Sus scrofa: one gene and its partners. The protein of the gene in region 1 purifies or fractionates together with the protein of each later gene. This does not show direct contact. Links are inferred from orthologs where the notes say so. Each region holds a gene or a part of one and is shown on either strand. Other genes may lie near its edges.

Region 1 (3,513 bases):
TTCGAGCTTCTGCCCCGGGATGTAGGGAGCCGGGAAGTGCACTGTCCTCACCTTCACACTGAACTGGAGCTGGATGAACGTCAAATTCACAACTTTTTTCTTAGCTCACCAGAGAACTTTAAGGGCACACAGCAACCTAAACCTAAGGGGATTCAGAGAGAGAGGAAAAATGCACCTCATTTAATTGTTAGGAACATAGTCATATGAAATCAGTGTTTCTCACAAGTTCTAGGTACACGTCTCTAGATGGACAGAGACACACACACACCTAACTCCAGGGGCTTTTGATTTACTGTTTAGTATAAGGTTCAGATTAGGAGATGGCCTGGTTGGTGGTAAATTCTTCCAGGTTAATTGATAACTGCTTTTAACACATAAAAGGCAATTTCCTATGGGTCAAGCTAATGTTTCACCATATTCTAAATTAATGGCTGTTTTTTAAAAGTTACTAATTGGACAAAAGTTCCAATACTACAGTTATCATTTGAAAGTATAAGAAAATAGAAAAGGTATATGAAACAGATATTTATTACAGAACAATATTTTTAAACAGTATTTAAAGGCTTTAAACAAAAAAGCATAATTCCACACACTGACAATGATTTAGTAGCATGGCAATACCTTAGGCTGGAGAGAAATGTTTGTTCTTGATGAATTTACATATAATAAATTCTCATGACATTTGATTCCAAAATATATGCATGAAATGGTTTGACATGATTAACAATTTAAAGGAGACTATAAACATGAGGTCAGTGACTGGGAGAGCTGTATTTAAAAAAAATCAGAGATAAATAATTCTTTAGGAAGCAACCATGTACCTATGTACGTCTGAAGATCAAGGGTTAAAAATCCATTCCTGATGAATCCCATTAAGCAAAGGATGTATAACATCCATCACACATCTGTTCGAAAAACAGCATGTTTTCACAATTATACATTTCTTTACAAATAAACAACACTAATGACTAGAGAGAAACCAATAGAATGAGTTCCAAAATGTGCTCTCGCGAGGCATCCCTGAGCCCTATCTTAAGGCATCCATTTTAATCTTGGGGCTTTAAGAACATCTTCTTTGCTTTAATTGGCTTTATGTCTCCATTTTCATCTTCTTCATAATTGGCACGGTCTCTTTTTTTGGCAAACTTTTTCCCAATTGTCCCCACCAAGGTCTCATATCTGTTAAAATGATAAACACAAGTTTAGTTTCAAATAAAGAAGACAGGAATCAAGACTTGTCAAGAATATCAAACCAAATATGCAACAAAGAGTACGAAAAATCAACACTATGATTGACAGAAACCATCTGATTTAAAATTTATGAACTTCTCTACAAATGATCAAATTCTTTACTTTTTTTTTCTGGGTTAGTGTTCTAAATAAATCGAGATGTATATTTTAAAATATGAATTAGAAGCAGCACTAGAAATGAGCCCTCAACTGCCAGCCTGTGACAGGTGTGAACACTGCCCTGCCACCCAGGAAGCCCTACGTGCTGAGTACTCCCTTCAAAGGCTGGCAGACCACCTGACTGAGTGCCAATGGACGCTGTGGGCTCTAGGCTCAATTCTACAGCCGACCAAGGTAACAGTTACCTTCTGGCCATTTCTTCATCTGACACATCGAGCTCCACTGTTTCATCTTCAACTTCTTCTGCTTTGTTTTTAGCATTCATCTGAAGCATTAATTTCTAAAAAATACAGAAATGCTGACTAGCAGAGCTGGAAAAAGCTTGTTAAAGGAACTGGTGTCAAATGTACTTGAAAGCAAAGAAATAAAAGTTACAGCATCTACAGCACTAGTCAAAATTTCTAAGGGATTCTCTATAATACTTTATTTCCCAGTATGCTAACAGAAGCTAACTCTGAATTAAAAAAAAATAATCGGCAAAGCTCCAAAAGATTAGAATTACTGTTAATGAGTTTAAATTTTATTGTATTATTTTTGTTGGGGGGGGGCACACCTGTTGCACATGGAAGTTCCCAGGCTAGGGGTCAAATTGAAGCTGCAGCTGTAAGCCTACGCCACACCCACAACCGAAGCAACGCCAGGTCTGTGCAGGGCCTGTGACTTACACCACAGTTCACGGAAAATCCTGGATCCTTAACCCACTGTGTGAGGCCAGGGATTGAACCCGCATCCTCATGGATACGAGTCGCATTCTTAATCCATTGAGATACAAGGGAACTCCCTAAATTGTATTTTAGATCATAAATCTTAGTTACGTGTATCTAAAGCAGGCACACTGCTAGCTTTAGATAGGGGCAAGAAAAAATATAGTTTCAGATATCCTTTGAACTCCCCGTCTTTGAGCCAAATAGAAGAAATGCTGCAGTCAAATATAACTTTAAGTGCAGTTTTTGGTGGTGGTTGGGGAACAGGGAGGGCAAACTGCTAGAAGGATTGAAGGCTGGCTCTCGTATGATGGAGAGGAGGGTGGACAATGCACTGACTTTCACATGATGTCCATGTGCCTTGGGTCTATCCTCCCTCTCTTTTTCTTACATTTACCTTTTCTTTTCCCTTTCTCCCTTCCTTCCCCCACTCCTCTTTTTAGGGCTGCACCTAGAACATATGGAGGCTCCCAGACTAGGGGTTAAATTGAAGTGCAACTGCCTGCCAACACCACAGCCACAGCCACACGGGATCCCAGCCACATCTGCAAACTACACCAGAGTTCACAGCAATGTTGGATCCTTAACCCACTGAGCGAGGCCAGGGATCGAACCCACATCTTCATGGATACTAGCTGGGTTCATTACTGCTGAGCCACAGTGGGTACTCCACATTTATCTTTTCTTGATAGTTACCTTCTGACAGACTTAAAATAAAACAATTTCAAGAACACAAGCTCTGTGAGGGCCTACGTTTTGGTTCCCTGCTGGATTTCCAGTGTCTCAAAAGGGCTGAGGTACCACAGGTACAGAGTAAATATTTACTGAGTAAATTCACTCAATGGTGGGTGTCACCAGAAACACAGTATTAACAAATGTGTTCTAAGTACATCCTACTTATAACAAAGTAAGTGCTCTCAAGTTGCTATCACTCTTTTCATAACCAGGTACACCAAAGTCTTCTCACAATTCATGACAGCTCAGATCTGCAAGTCAAACGGTTCAAAACCCTCTTCCAGAGAGAATATATTCAGTGTTACAGGGTGCCAGTAGTTAAAGCCATTTCCTGATAATCTCTCACATTAAATTCGGGGGGCCAGATCAACCTCTTTCCCTGATGCACCGTACATACTCTGAAGTCCTTGTCCACCCAATACCCTGGTCTTTGGGCATCACCCACTCATAATCTTTGCTATCTTTTTTCCCTTTTACTCCACTGCCCCTTTTCTCTTTCTAATCTAAAGCTTTAGCCAGGCCAAAACCAAGGAAAGTATAGATTAAAAACAAACACCAAGGAAAGTATAGATTAAAAACAAAACCAAGGAAAGTGTTGATTTTGTGTAAAATTTAATACCTTAATTATCATGCCCCTTTAAAAAAAAAAAAAAAAAAAAAAAAA
Region 2 (3,281 bases), about 7.0 Mb from region 1:
TAAAAGGACCATGTGCAATACTTGATAATGCCACATGATCGCTTCTCTCCCTTCCCTCCCGCACATCCTACCCATAGGCACCCCTGGTGTGAGAGCCTGTGGCTCCCCGGGTGTCTGTAGAATAAGTGCTCCAACTGGCTTCTGGTTGCAGCCATTGCCAAGTCTAGCCCTAGACCCCTGAACTTTGGGAATAATGGCTCAGGACTTACATGTAGAGGTGGCCCACAGAATAGGGGGGTTAGATGAAGAGAGGCATTCATCATTCAATGGAAGGTGATTCAAGGGATTATTGGAGGCAGAGAGAATCTCCTTGGAGCCTCTTGTAGGAAAACCTTTCCATTTCTTAGGCCCATATCCCTCTTCCTCTTGGTGTGCAGGTTGGGTGTAGATCAGAAGCATTCTTTGGTATAGGAGGCATTTAGGGTAGATCACTTGCTTCCCTCCACTCCTTTGCCTGTCCCCTCATTCCTGGTTCCAGGACTTAAAAGTTGGACATTGAGGATGGAGACTCTGACCTGGTTTGCCCCTTCACCCAAGTCTGAAGACAGCTAGGTTTGGAAGCAGCAGTGTATAGTAGTTGGTTGTGCCCCCTCTGGCTGATTTCCAGTCCACTGGGTACAGCAGGCTGGCTCTGAGGCCGAGGGTCATTTCTCAGTCCTGCTGACTTTGGAGAGAGGAGGAAAAGCAGGTCTATGGCAGCTGAAGCAGCAGAGGCCAACAGTCACAAGGCCTGGGAATGAAAGGCTGTTCTCACACGGAGTTATGAGAGCTAGGTAGAAGGAAGGTGCTGAGGCCCTGACTGCAGCAGCTGCATGCCTGGTATGGAGTGTCAGGGATACAAAGAACTCACAATCCAGTGCAGGAGACAGTTCCATTTATTCATTAGCAAGCGTTTATGCCAGCCAGGGCACTGACAGTACAGCAGTGACCAAGACAAAAGGTCACTGCACTCTTAGGCAAGGCAGTAGGAAACAGAAAATTGTCACACGGGAGTTCCAGTTGTGCAGTGGGATCATTGGTGTCTTGGGAGCGCTGGGACCCTTCGATCCTCAGCCCAGCACAGTGGGTGAAGGATGTGGTGTTGCCACAGCTGTGGCTTTCGTTGTGACTGGCTGATCCCTAGCCCAGGAACTCCACATGCTGTGGGATGGCAAAAAAAGAAAACAAAAAACAAAAAAATAATCATACAAATAAATGCAAAATTAAAATGACTACAATTTCACATCGGCTAAAGGTCGGCCAAGCAGGTCTAGGTCCCACTTCTGCAGGCCTGCCTCACAGCCACCCAACCACGAAGCACCTGGTGTCCTCGCTGCTGCCTGGGGCTCTACAGCGCTCGCCGTTCTCCCTCCGGGGCGGCAGGGGTCAGTGCAGCGCCGCCCGCTGCTATCCCGACAGCCCTCGCGCGGGCGCGCGACTTTAAGCGAGCGGAAGAGCAGGCGCGCGAGGCAGGACGGGCGGAAGTGGCTTGTACTCTAGGTGCTGCCATGCCCGGGGACCACCGCCGCATCCGCGGGCCTGAGGAGTCGCAGCCGCCGCAGCTGTACGCGGTCGGCGAGGACGAGGAGCCAGCCGCCCGTGACCCGACGCGGCTGCGGCCCGTGTACGCGCGCGCCGGGCTACTGAGTCAAGCCAAGGGCTCGGCCTACCTGGAGGCTGGAGGCACCAAGGTGCTGTGCGCCGTGTCCGGCCCACGCCAGGCCGAGGGCGGCGAGCGCGGCGGCGGCCCGGCCGGAACGGGCGGCGAGGCCCCGGCCGCGTTGCGGGGCCGCTTGCTCTGCGACTTCCGCCGCGCGCCCTTCTCGGGCCGACGGCGCCGCGCTCCCCCAGGCGGCGGCGAGGAGCGTGAGCTGGCGCTGGCGCTGCAGGAGGCGCTCGAGCCGGCCGTGCGCTTGGGTCGCTACCCGCGCGCGCAGCTTGAAGTGTCGGCGCTGCTGCTCGAGGACGGCGGCTCGGCGTTGGCCGCCGCTCTCACGGCCGCCGCGCTCGCCCTGGCCGACGCGGGCATAGAGATGTACGACCTGGTGGTGGGCTGCGGCTTAAGCCACACTCCTGGGCCCGCACCCACCTGGCTGCTGGACCCCACGCTGCTCGAGGAGGAACGCGCCGCCGCCAGCCTCACCGTGGCGCTCATGCCGGTGCTTAACCAGGTGGCCGGGCTGCTGGGCAGCGGGGAGGGTGGCCCGACAGAGAGTTGGGCAGAAGCCGTGCGCCTGGGTCTCGAGGGCTGCCAGCGCCTCTACCCAGTTCTGCAGCAGTGCTTGGTACGGGCCGCCCGCCGGAGGGGCGCCTCCGCGCCGCCTTGAACCATAAGTGTGAGCAACGACGCCGAGGAGCAGGCTACCGCTGTCGCCGAAAGAACCCGAGCCGTCGGCTTGCAGACGGCGCTGAGCCAAGAACTAGAGCCCGGGAGAGGATCTGGGAAAGTGCGCTCAGAACTGATGTGCCGGACAGCTGTGTTTTTTTTTTTGTTGTTTGTTTTATAAACTATCGTTTAAGAAACTTTTCTAATTGGGTTGGCGCTCAGCTACGACCCAGTTGAAGAAACCTGCTACTGCAGTCTGATTTCCAAGGTGGAAAGGACTTTAGGTGGACTTGCCTGAAAAACGGGAACCTGCAGCTAGTGCCTTGTGAGGGATGGACCCTGTGCGGGCCACTTAGTGACTGTCTCCTATCTAATGGGCCTGCTTTTGAGATAATAGACAAGGGGGTTGTGTCTTCCCACTTCTATCTGAACTAAAACAGAAATTCTTTTATAGCTGAAAAGTTCTTCTGTTGTTCTTCTTGGTACAGGATAGAGCAAGGCTCTCCTGAGCTGTGTAGTGTGTTCTTGGACTCAAGGCTTGGGACAGTATTATTTTAAATGTGTCCTGGTGTCCCTGGTCCAGTCTTGGTTCCTGGAAGAGGACATTTGACTGCCAAGAGTGAGAGTTTCTGAATGTTGGGAAACTAGATGCAGCCTGTTCCATTAGGGCAGAGCTGGCCTGTCTGACCACAAGGGTGGACTCGTCCCTGTGTGGCTCCGGAGCGCTGTGGGTTTGTGCTCAGGTCTGGATTGGAGAAAGGCCTGGCAGCCTGTTCTCCTCTGCCCTGACTTGGTGTGAGCTTCTGAGCTTGTGTGTCTCCGAGGCCTGCTCAGCTTCTCTAGAAAGGGGCAGTTGAGAGACTGTAGTGAGGCTTTGAGACTACACTAAGGACCCCTGACCAGGGAAAAGAAAATTTTATTTCTCCTCAGTGACATATTTTTCCAAAGCAGATCTGAAATATGTAAGATCACACCA
Region 3 (3,984 bases), about 43 Mb from region 1:
CGGTCATAGTGTCCATGAGGATGCAGGTTCCACTCCTGGCCCCGCTCACTGGGTTAAGAATCTGGCGTTGGCCCCCAGCTGCGGTTCCCATTCCACCCCTAGCCTGGGAACTTCCATATGCTGCAGATGCCCCAATAAAAAGTAAAAAAACAAACTAAAAAAAACCAGAGTTGAAGCAAAAAGGCACTATAAAAGCCTGTGCTGGGGTATCTGCTCTCTCTTCTCTTCTTGGAAGGGGGAGTCTTTCCCAAGAAGAAAATCTTTCCTTTGTAAACGCAATTTCACTCTCCAACCCCTGAGGAGAAAGGTCACACTTTCCCCCCATGTCCTCCAAGAGGCCTCCCCGGGGCATTGGTGGCAACTAATAAGAAACGCCCTCCCTCACTTTCTCCACGTTGTCTTCCTCCCTGAGGGTCCACAAAGAAGCTGTCCCGCTTTGCCTCTCCTAAGGAAGTGAAACTTCTTCCCTTGAGGGTCCGCTACAAGATGTTTCTGCAGCCCTTCTCCCTTCAACCGCCCTCCATGTACTCCCTACAGGGACGCCACACTCTGAAGAAGGAGTTAACATTTCTATACCTTCTCGGGTACCTCCCCAGTACTCACAGATCTAGCCAGACCCCGAGCCCCAAGCCGCCGCAGAAGCAGGAGGCCAGCCTGGCCCAAGCCTTGACTGCGCTCCCAAACCCTCGCCACAGCCACCGCCAACGCCATCTTGACCATTAATACCTCAGAGTAGCGTCCCCCTCCTTGGCGAGACTGGGGCTGCCCCTTCAGGAGCCTGACTCAAATACCAGGATCGCTCTGCCAAGAAACCACCTGCTACTAATCCTGCGGTCTTTAGGACACATATATAGGTGGGTAAAATAATCCAGATTTCCCCAAATTACTCCGATCGCTTCACCGGAGTTATTCCTCTTAACAGGCAAAGCAGAGGGCAACTGAGCTCGGCTTCAGGGTTTCAGGGCCCCGGGGCCTCGGGTAGGACGAGCTCATGCCAAGGCCCGCCCTCTCTTCCCTTCTGTCCAATGGCTTTCCTGGACTCTCTAGGCGGGAGTAGGAGGGACCAGATTGTTAGTAAACGCAGAGACACGTGCGGGCGCGGATCCCGGAGGGCCCCGCACCCAAGTTGGCGCTTGCTCATTGGGTACGCAGTCTGTACGCAAGCGCGCGCTTCTGGGCGGAAGCGACAGTCCCTGCTGCACGTGGGCTCCCCGGCGATGGAGGAGTCGATGCAGACTGAAACCAAGGTACGCCCCGAGTCTGGAGCAGAGTCTGGCCCTCGGAGCCCCAGCTGTACTCTCCGGCACTTTGCCTGCGAACAAAACTTGTTGTCCCGGCCCGATGGCTCTGCCTCTTTCCTGCAAGGTAAGAATTTACCCACGTCGTATTTGTTCTCGTGGGCGGGTACAGTGTATTGTGTTAGCTGGTAAATATCTTCTTGGACTGATGCAGTTCTTGCCGGAGTGAATGGTACTGCATATGCCAGTAGACAAATAGAAGGGTGAAGATACCTCCACTCTGGTAAATATGCCTCAGGATGAGAGAGGGGCAGACCTTCTCTTAAGAACGAATACTCCAGGGACTTCCCTTCGTGGCTCAGCAGTTAAGGAACCCGACTAGGATCCATGAGGATGAGGGTTCGATCCCTGGCCTCCCTTAGCGGGTTAAGGATCCGGCGTTGCTGTGAGCTGTGGTGTAGGTCGCAGACACAGCTCGGATCTGGGGTTTCTGTGGTTGTGGTGTAGGCTGGCAGTTGTAGCTCTGATTAGATCCCTAGCCTGGGAACTTCCATGTGAGGCCTGAGAGAGCAAAAAAAAAAAAAAAAAAAAAAAAGAACGAATACTCCAGAATAGGGGAAATCTCACCGTGTAAAAAAAGTCCTCCTTGACTAGGTTCCTCCCACACATGCACTCTGGATTCATCTATCCCTGGTTGAGGCAAACCTGTTCTTTTGCGTAAATACCTCGTAGACTGGCAAATCACCACTACTGATTTTTTTTTGTTTGTTTTTCTTTTTTCTTTTTTTTGCTTTTTAGGACCGCACTTGCAACATATGGAGGTTCCCAGGCTAGGGGTTCAAATGAAGCTGTAGCTGCTGGCCTACATCGCAGCCACAGCAATGCGAGATCTGAGCTGCATCTGCGGCCTACACCACAGCTCACGGCAACCCCAGATCCTTAACCCACCGAGCGGGGCCAGGGATTGAACCCATAGCCTCATGGATACTAGTTGGGTTCTTACCCGCTGAGCCAAAATGGGAATTTCGTTGTTTTATATATACGGAGTTGCCAGGCTGGGGATCACATCCAAGCCCCAACTGTGTCCTTCCTATGCCCTTAGAGTGGCAACGCTGGGCCAGGGTTCCTGCCAATTCCTTTGTGCCACAGCGGGAATTCCTGAACACATGTGTTTTTGCTAAGTACTGTTCTAAGCACTGAGAAATCATAGCTAAAAAGGTTTTTTGTGTTTTTTTAATTTCTTTTTTTATATTTTTTTCTGTTTTATATAAGTTTTTAAATTCCTGCCCTAGAAGAGTTTCCATTTCCATCAGAGAAACAAGTGATAACTAAGTAAAACTTAGTAAAAGGCTATGGAGGAAACTACCGCAGGAAGGAAGAATAGGGCGTGCCAGAGAGGGGTGCAGTCTCAAATGGGATGGTCAGGGAAGGCTTCGCTAAGATGGTACCATTTGAATAAAGATCTAAAGGTAAGGGAGCAAACCCTCAAGACAGTAAGAGAAAAGCATTGGGGACAAGGGTAAAGGCCCTGAGACAAAAACTTGCCTGGTGTGTTTGAGGAGCAGTCAGGAGAGCAAAGTGGCTGCAGCAGAGACAGGAGGTCAAAGAGAGGTACGGAGGACTGCCCTTCATGCAAGTTTCTTAGCACTTAAATACTGAGCCTCTTCCATGTTCTAAAACCCCAAAGCCCAGGACCCTGGAGCAGAGTCCCTCAAAGGCCCTCAGAAGTGTGTCTCACATGCTCCTGGCCTCAGAATCTCTACTGAGGTTAAGAATTCCGAGCCCCAGGAGTTCCCTGGTGACTCAGCAGGTTAAGGTTCCAGCATTGTTACTGCTGTGGCTCAGGTCCAAGCTGTGGCAAGGGTTTGATCTCTGGCCCAGGAATTCCATGTGCCGTGGGCACAGCCAAAAAAAAAAAAATGCTGAAGCCTCAGAACCCACCCACACCAGCTAAGTCTGGCCCTCTACACTTTTTAATCCACTACAGCGGCAATTCTGATTGCAGGCCAGCGTTTTGAAGCTGTGCACCAGCTCCGTGTCCTCCCACTGCAGGTTGCAATCCCCGCTGCACATTAGAATGGCCTGTGGAGCTCACAGGCTGCCGGTGCCTGAGCGCCAGCCCTCAGCAATGGTATTAGGCTCTCTGAGGGGAGGGGCCTGTGCATCAGTGTCTTTTAAAGCTCTGCAGTGAGTCCAATGTGCATTCGTTAGTGATTCTTTTTTTTTTGCTTTTTGTGGCTGGGCCTGCGGCATATGGAAGTTCCAGGCTAGGGGCTGAATCGGAGCTACAACTGTTGGCCTACGCCACAGCCACAGCCACATTGGATCCTTAACCCACTGAGCAAGGCTAGGGATCGAACCCACATCCTCATGAATATTAGTTGAGTTCTTTAACCTCTGAGCTGCAGAGGGAACTCCCTGAAAAAAAATTTTTTTTTTTTGTCTTTTTTGCTATTTCTTGGGCCGCTCCTGCAACATATGGAGGTTCCCAGGCTAGGGGTTGAATCGGAGCTGTAGACACTAGCCTACGCCAGAGCCACAGCAACGCGGGATCCAAGCCGCGTCTGCAACCTACACCACAGCTCACGGCAACGCCGGATCGTTAACCCACTGAGCAAAGGCAGGGACCGAACCCGCAACCTCATGGTTCCTAGTCGGATTCGTTAACCACTGCGCCACGACGGGAACTCCTGAAATATATTTCTTATTGGGGGTTATGGTCAGAAAAATTTGGAAGCTACTGTTT
Region 4 (4,239 bases), on another chromosome or scaffold:
TCACAACATCATATGCCTATTTACTAATAAAAACATATAAAGTTGGAGTTCTCTTTTGTGGTGCACAGAAGATTAAGGATCCAGCACTGTCACTGTAGCGATTTGGGTCGCTGCTATGGCATGGGTTCGATCCCTGGCCCAGAAACTTTGATAGGCCACGGGAGCAGCCAAAGAAAAAACCCCACAAACTATATAAGGTTAATAATTAATGAAGGTATGTGGTAGAGGTCAAATTGGTATTGAATGAGAAGGCAAAGGCAGGAGCTAGGTAAATCTACTCATTACTTTCTTCTCTAAAATAAACTAAGAAAAAACTTTAAGCTCTCCATAATACTTTTTACATACTTCAATTCGAACTTTTTACACTGAACTATGGTCATTGATATGTCTCTCCCACAAAAATTACAAGTCTCATCTTTGTACTCTTAAAAAATCTGAATATATGTGCTTAAATAGCCTTTCTGCTTTTAGATTCATAATTGACAACTAATAAATCCTTGATTAAAAAATATCTTGGGCAGAGGTTTTCTAACTTCACTGGAAGACTATCCTCTTTTGAAAAGTTAAATACAGGGAGTTCCTGCTGTGGCATCTCTGGAGCGATGAGATGCAGGTTTGATCCCTGGCCCGACACAGTGGCTTAACGATCCAGTGCTGCAACTGTGGCGTAGGTCACAACTGTGGCTCGGATCTGATCCCTGGCCCAGGAACTCCATATGCCTCGGGGCGGTCAAAAAAGAAAAGAAAAAAAAAGTTAAATACCAAAATGATTTTTTCTGAAACAATCCTGGAGTGCTCCTAATCCAACTTTTGGTTGTAATTTTTTCAGAGCACTAGCACCAGAAGCTGCTACTTCTTACCTAAACCTATATTTCTATCCTGACATCTGGGAAAGACAATTTGGGCCTGAGTATCCCATGAAAATAATGTTCACTGTCTCCCAAACAAATGTCATTATATGTTAAGTGTCATATATAATGAATATATTAAAAAATCATTACACCATGGAAATTACAATCAGTAATAAAGTTCTTAGTAAACTTTTTATGTGGTTATCATGGAATAAGTCAAGACACAGACATATAAACACATCTTAAAATGGCAAATCTTCAGATGAGTAAACTCAGGAATGTTTAAAGATCAGAAGGGACAAAAAACAGATATTTTGCAATTTTCCTTCTCAATCTCTCCATAATCTCCACCTTCCCATAAATCCCATGGTTTCCAATATATTGAGATAAAAATGCTGTTAAGTTTCATTCTCTCTGTAGCCCAACTCTAAGAGTTATAAAATGTCAAAAATGTGAACATAAGAAATAAGACTTAAAGTTTTCCAAAAAAGACATATAAATTTAAAGCCTCTGAATTAATAGAGCTGGTGAATATACCGGGGTTTTTTTTTTCCAACTTTAGAAGGCAGCAATGTGTAAGAATAAATCAAGATAGAAAGGTTAAAACAGACTCAAATAAAAGCAGTAGGATTATGCAGAATGAAACTTCACAATTTCCAATGTCGCAGTGCAATATGATATAAGCAATGGTATTCCCCAAACTTTTTATGGCTAATATTTTTTTTCTTCCTCTAAAAATCTAAGTCAACATCACCTAAAAGCAAGGGTAGTATTAAAAAGAGGGTTAATGAAACTTGGGCTTCTGATGTAATATTACAGATCTGATTTTACACTTCCTTAGGTTCCATTAGTTTGGCCCCCATCCATAACACGTAAATATTTATTAAAAAGCAATAAACTCAATAAAGTAATTTTTTAAAATAACGCTACGGTTTGACACATGGAGATTACCAAAGAACCAACTACGTTAAGTATACTTACAGTGACAAGCGGTTCTGATGGTTCAGAAAAGTTACTCATCTCAAAGACCTAGCAATGACGCTAAAAGGAACTTTAGTAGTGACACACCCAGGGCAGACCGCCACGTTAAGGATACAACTCTTCCGAGGTGGAGAGGGCTCTCGCCAGCTCTGACTGCTGCTGAATCCAGATCCTGCTCCTCCTCCTAGGGGAGGTCTGCCCCCCGGCTTGCCTCCTCGCTCACCCCCTCCTCGCCCCCGACTCCAGCGACTCCCACCCCGGTAAGGCCTGCCTCGAAAACGGAAACGGTCCAAGGCAATGTGGCTCCGTTCCCAAAAGGACGGCCGGGGGCTGCTTTCGGACAGTGAGCTCGAAGGCATCCGCACGGAAGGCGGGTGAGACCTGAACGGCTCTTTGGGTCGGTAGCTGCTGTGTCCCCTGAGGTGGCCCCGCTCCGACGCGTGCCGTGAGCGTGAGAAATTCCTCAGCTGCTGCTGAGAAGAGGACGACGACGAGGAGGAGCCACCGCCTCCGCCGGATCCACCACCCCGGGCCGGGTGAGGAGGCCTTCGCCGCGGATACGGTAACAGCCCTCCGCCACTGCTGCTGCTGCTGCTCCGGCTCCGTATCTGGCTGTTATTATCGTCATCGCTGATCTCTCCATCTTCGAGCTCCCCTTCTTCCTTGGGCGAGAGGCCACTGGAGGCCGGGGCCGGAGTATCTGCGGTCGCCATCCCGGGAGCAGTGCCTTCCACACAACCTTAGCCCTCTGTCCGGGGATCCACCCTACAATTGTCTTCCTCCTCTGTTTCCTTTTTTCCTAACGGACCCGGTCGGTGCGGTTTTACAGTACTCGGACACCTAGTGGGCTCTGCTCCCCAACTTCCCCGCACCCCAGCTCTTTCTCGCCGGACCGTCGCAATTCAGTTCCCTTCCCTAGCGCCCCCTTGCTCTCCGCGATCGGGGCTCTTCCGCCTCGCGAGAAAGGGTCTCTGGAAGTGGCTCTACTCGTGACGTCACTTCCCGAAGCACGCAGGAAACAAGGCTCCCAATTCACGCGATAAAAATTAGGACGACGCGATTCTCAGTGGGCGTTGTAGTTTTTTTTGAGTATTGCTTTCCGTTTGTCCTTCCAAAATCTGTGCCTGTTAGCTACTCCAGACCCTAAACTCGGGTTTCTGGGTGCGTGGCAGGGTAGGCGGGTCTCTTCTTAATCTCGGCTGCGAGATTCATATTTCATAGTGATAGGGGGCTGGTGGGGGGCATACCTCTTCGATTGCTCAAAGAACAACTACCAAAGAGACCAGTAGTCCCTCTCTTTTGGGAGCCAGCGGTAGGGCGGGTTGCGTTCGCCATGTTGGTGAAGGCAAACGAAGGGGACTGGAGCTCCAGGACTGTAGGCTCTGCTGCCCCAAGTCCGCCATATTAATAAAGAGAAAGGGAAGGTTGACTACCCCCCCCCAGCTACACACACACACACACACACACACACACACACACACACAACACGCATACACAACCCCTTCCTCGCACGCAGGTCCCACGACTCAGTTCTTTGGCCCTTCCCCTGCCACGCTTCCCCAGTCTCTGCCCGAAGGGAGCGTAGCAACCCGCACCTCAAATCAGGCTTAAGACAGCGCCGAATGAGGGGGAAAGGGAAATGCCGACCAATTGCGCCGCGGCGGGCTGTGCTACTACCTACAACAAGCACATTAACATCAGCTTCCACAGGTAACCTGGGCAGGGAGTGCGGGTGACGAAAACGGGAGTTCCTTGACTGGGTATCGCTTGGGGCGGGGGGGAAGACCAGGGAGGATTCTACTAATTCTGATAACTTCCGTAGCTAACTAGTAGCAGAGGCGCAACATTTTTACCCTTTGTGTGTGTTTCTCAAATCTGTCCAATTTTTCTCTCCCTTCGGGGAAGGTTTGCTCACTTTGAGAAAGAGAGCCAAGTTCTGTACGGTGATTGCTCCTTTAGAAAGTGACAAGGAAGATACCTTAATTTTCTACTCTTTTACTCCTGTGTATTAGATCAGGTCTTGACATTAATGACACCGTAAGAGGAAGTGAGATCTTCCTGTTCAAGCCAGCAATCACCTAAAAAGCCTGCTGTGTTCTCATTAGAAGTTAATTCTTACTGGCTGAACTGACATGGGAAGCATTTGGATTTTTAATCTTTTAGTCACAGGCAGTAATTTTGTGGAGGAATTGAGTCATCATTAATAGCCGTGGAATTAAGCGATGTTAATGAAAGTGGGAAATGAAAGCTTTCTTTTCTTTTAGTATGCAGAGTAGTATAATAAAAGGAACCCGGATTGTGTTTTTCCTACGTTTGCTGGAAGAGCAAGCAAAATTCTTTAGTTCTGTTAAATCAGACCTCTTGAAAGGGCTTTGAACACTATATGACATAAGTACTTAGGTAAATG

What was found.
Region 2: the proteins of MPHOSPH6 (region 1) and EXOSC6 purify together in Homo sapiens (affinity purification with mass spectrometry; 3 studies listed by BioGRID and IntAct, with this or other methods). This does not show direct contact. The link is inferred for Sus scrofa from reciprocal best matches to the Homo sapiens genes MPHOSPH6 and EXOSC6.
Region 3: the proteins of MPHOSPH6 (region 1) and EXOSC5 purify together in Homo sapiens (affinity purification with mass spectrometry; 6 studies listed by BioGRID and IntAct, with this or other methods). This does not show direct contact. The link is inferred for Sus scrofa from reciprocal best matches to the Homo sapiens genes MPHOSPH6 and EXOSC5.
Region 4: the proteins of MPHOSPH6 (region 1) and ZFC3H1 purify together in Homo sapiens (affinity purification with mass spectrometry; 3 studies listed by BioGRID and IntAct, with this or other methods). This does not show direct contact. The link is inferred for Sus scrofa from reciprocal best matches to the Homo sapiens genes MPHOSPH6 and ZFC3H1.

What each region holds. Positions count from the first base shown.
Region 1 is NC_010448.4:6,268,018-6,271,530, reverse strand, and holds the end of MPHOSPH6 (M-phase phosphoprotein 6), read right to left. Parts: intron 1,691-3,513; coding exon 1,596-1,690; intron 1,180-1,595; coding exon 1,047-1,179; 3' UTR 510-1,046; downstream 1-509. UniProt on the Homo sapiens protein: RNA-binding protein that associates with the RNA exosome complex. Involved in the 3'-processing of the 7S pre-RNA to the mature 5.8S rRNA and play a role in recruiting the RNA exosome complex to pre-rRNA; this function may include C1D.
Region 2 is NC_010448.4:13,295,080-13,298,360, reverse strand, and holds EXOSC6 (exosome complex component MTR3), read left to right. Parts: upstream 1-1,418; 5' UTR 1,419-1,487; coding exon 1,488-2,306; 3' UTR 2,307-2,770; downstream 2,771-3,281. UniProt on the Homo sapiens protein: Non-catalytic component of the RNA exosome complex which has 3'->5' exoribonuclease activity and participates in a multitude of cellular RNA processing and degradation events.
Region 3 is NC_010448.4:49,378,937-49,382,920, reverse strand, and holds the start of EXOSC5 (exosome complex component RRP46), read left to right. Parts: upstream 1-1,173; 5' UTR 1,174-1,217; coding exon 1,218-1,365; intron 1,366-3,984. Other genes in the region: BCKDHA (2-oxoisovalerate dehydrogenase subunit alpha, mitochondrial), read right to left, coding at 604-720. UniProt on the Homo sapiens protein: Non-catalytic component of the RNA exosome complex which has 3'->5' exoribonuclease activity and participates in a multitude of cellular RNA processing and degradation events.
Region 4 is NC_010447.5:35,668,381-35,672,619, forward strand, and holds the start of ZFC3H1 (zinc finger C3H1 domain-containing protein), read right to left. Parts: upstream 2,812-4,239; 5' UTR 2,546-2,811; coding exon 1,948-2,545; intron 1-1,947. Other genes in the region: THAP2 (THAP domain-containing protein 2), read left to right, coding at 3,472-3,542. UniProt on the Homo sapiens protein: Subunit of the trimeric poly(A) tail exosome targeting (PAXT) complex, a complex that directs a subset of long and polyadenylated poly(A) RNAs for exosomal degradation. The RNA exosome is fundamental for the degradation of RNA in eukaryotic nuclei.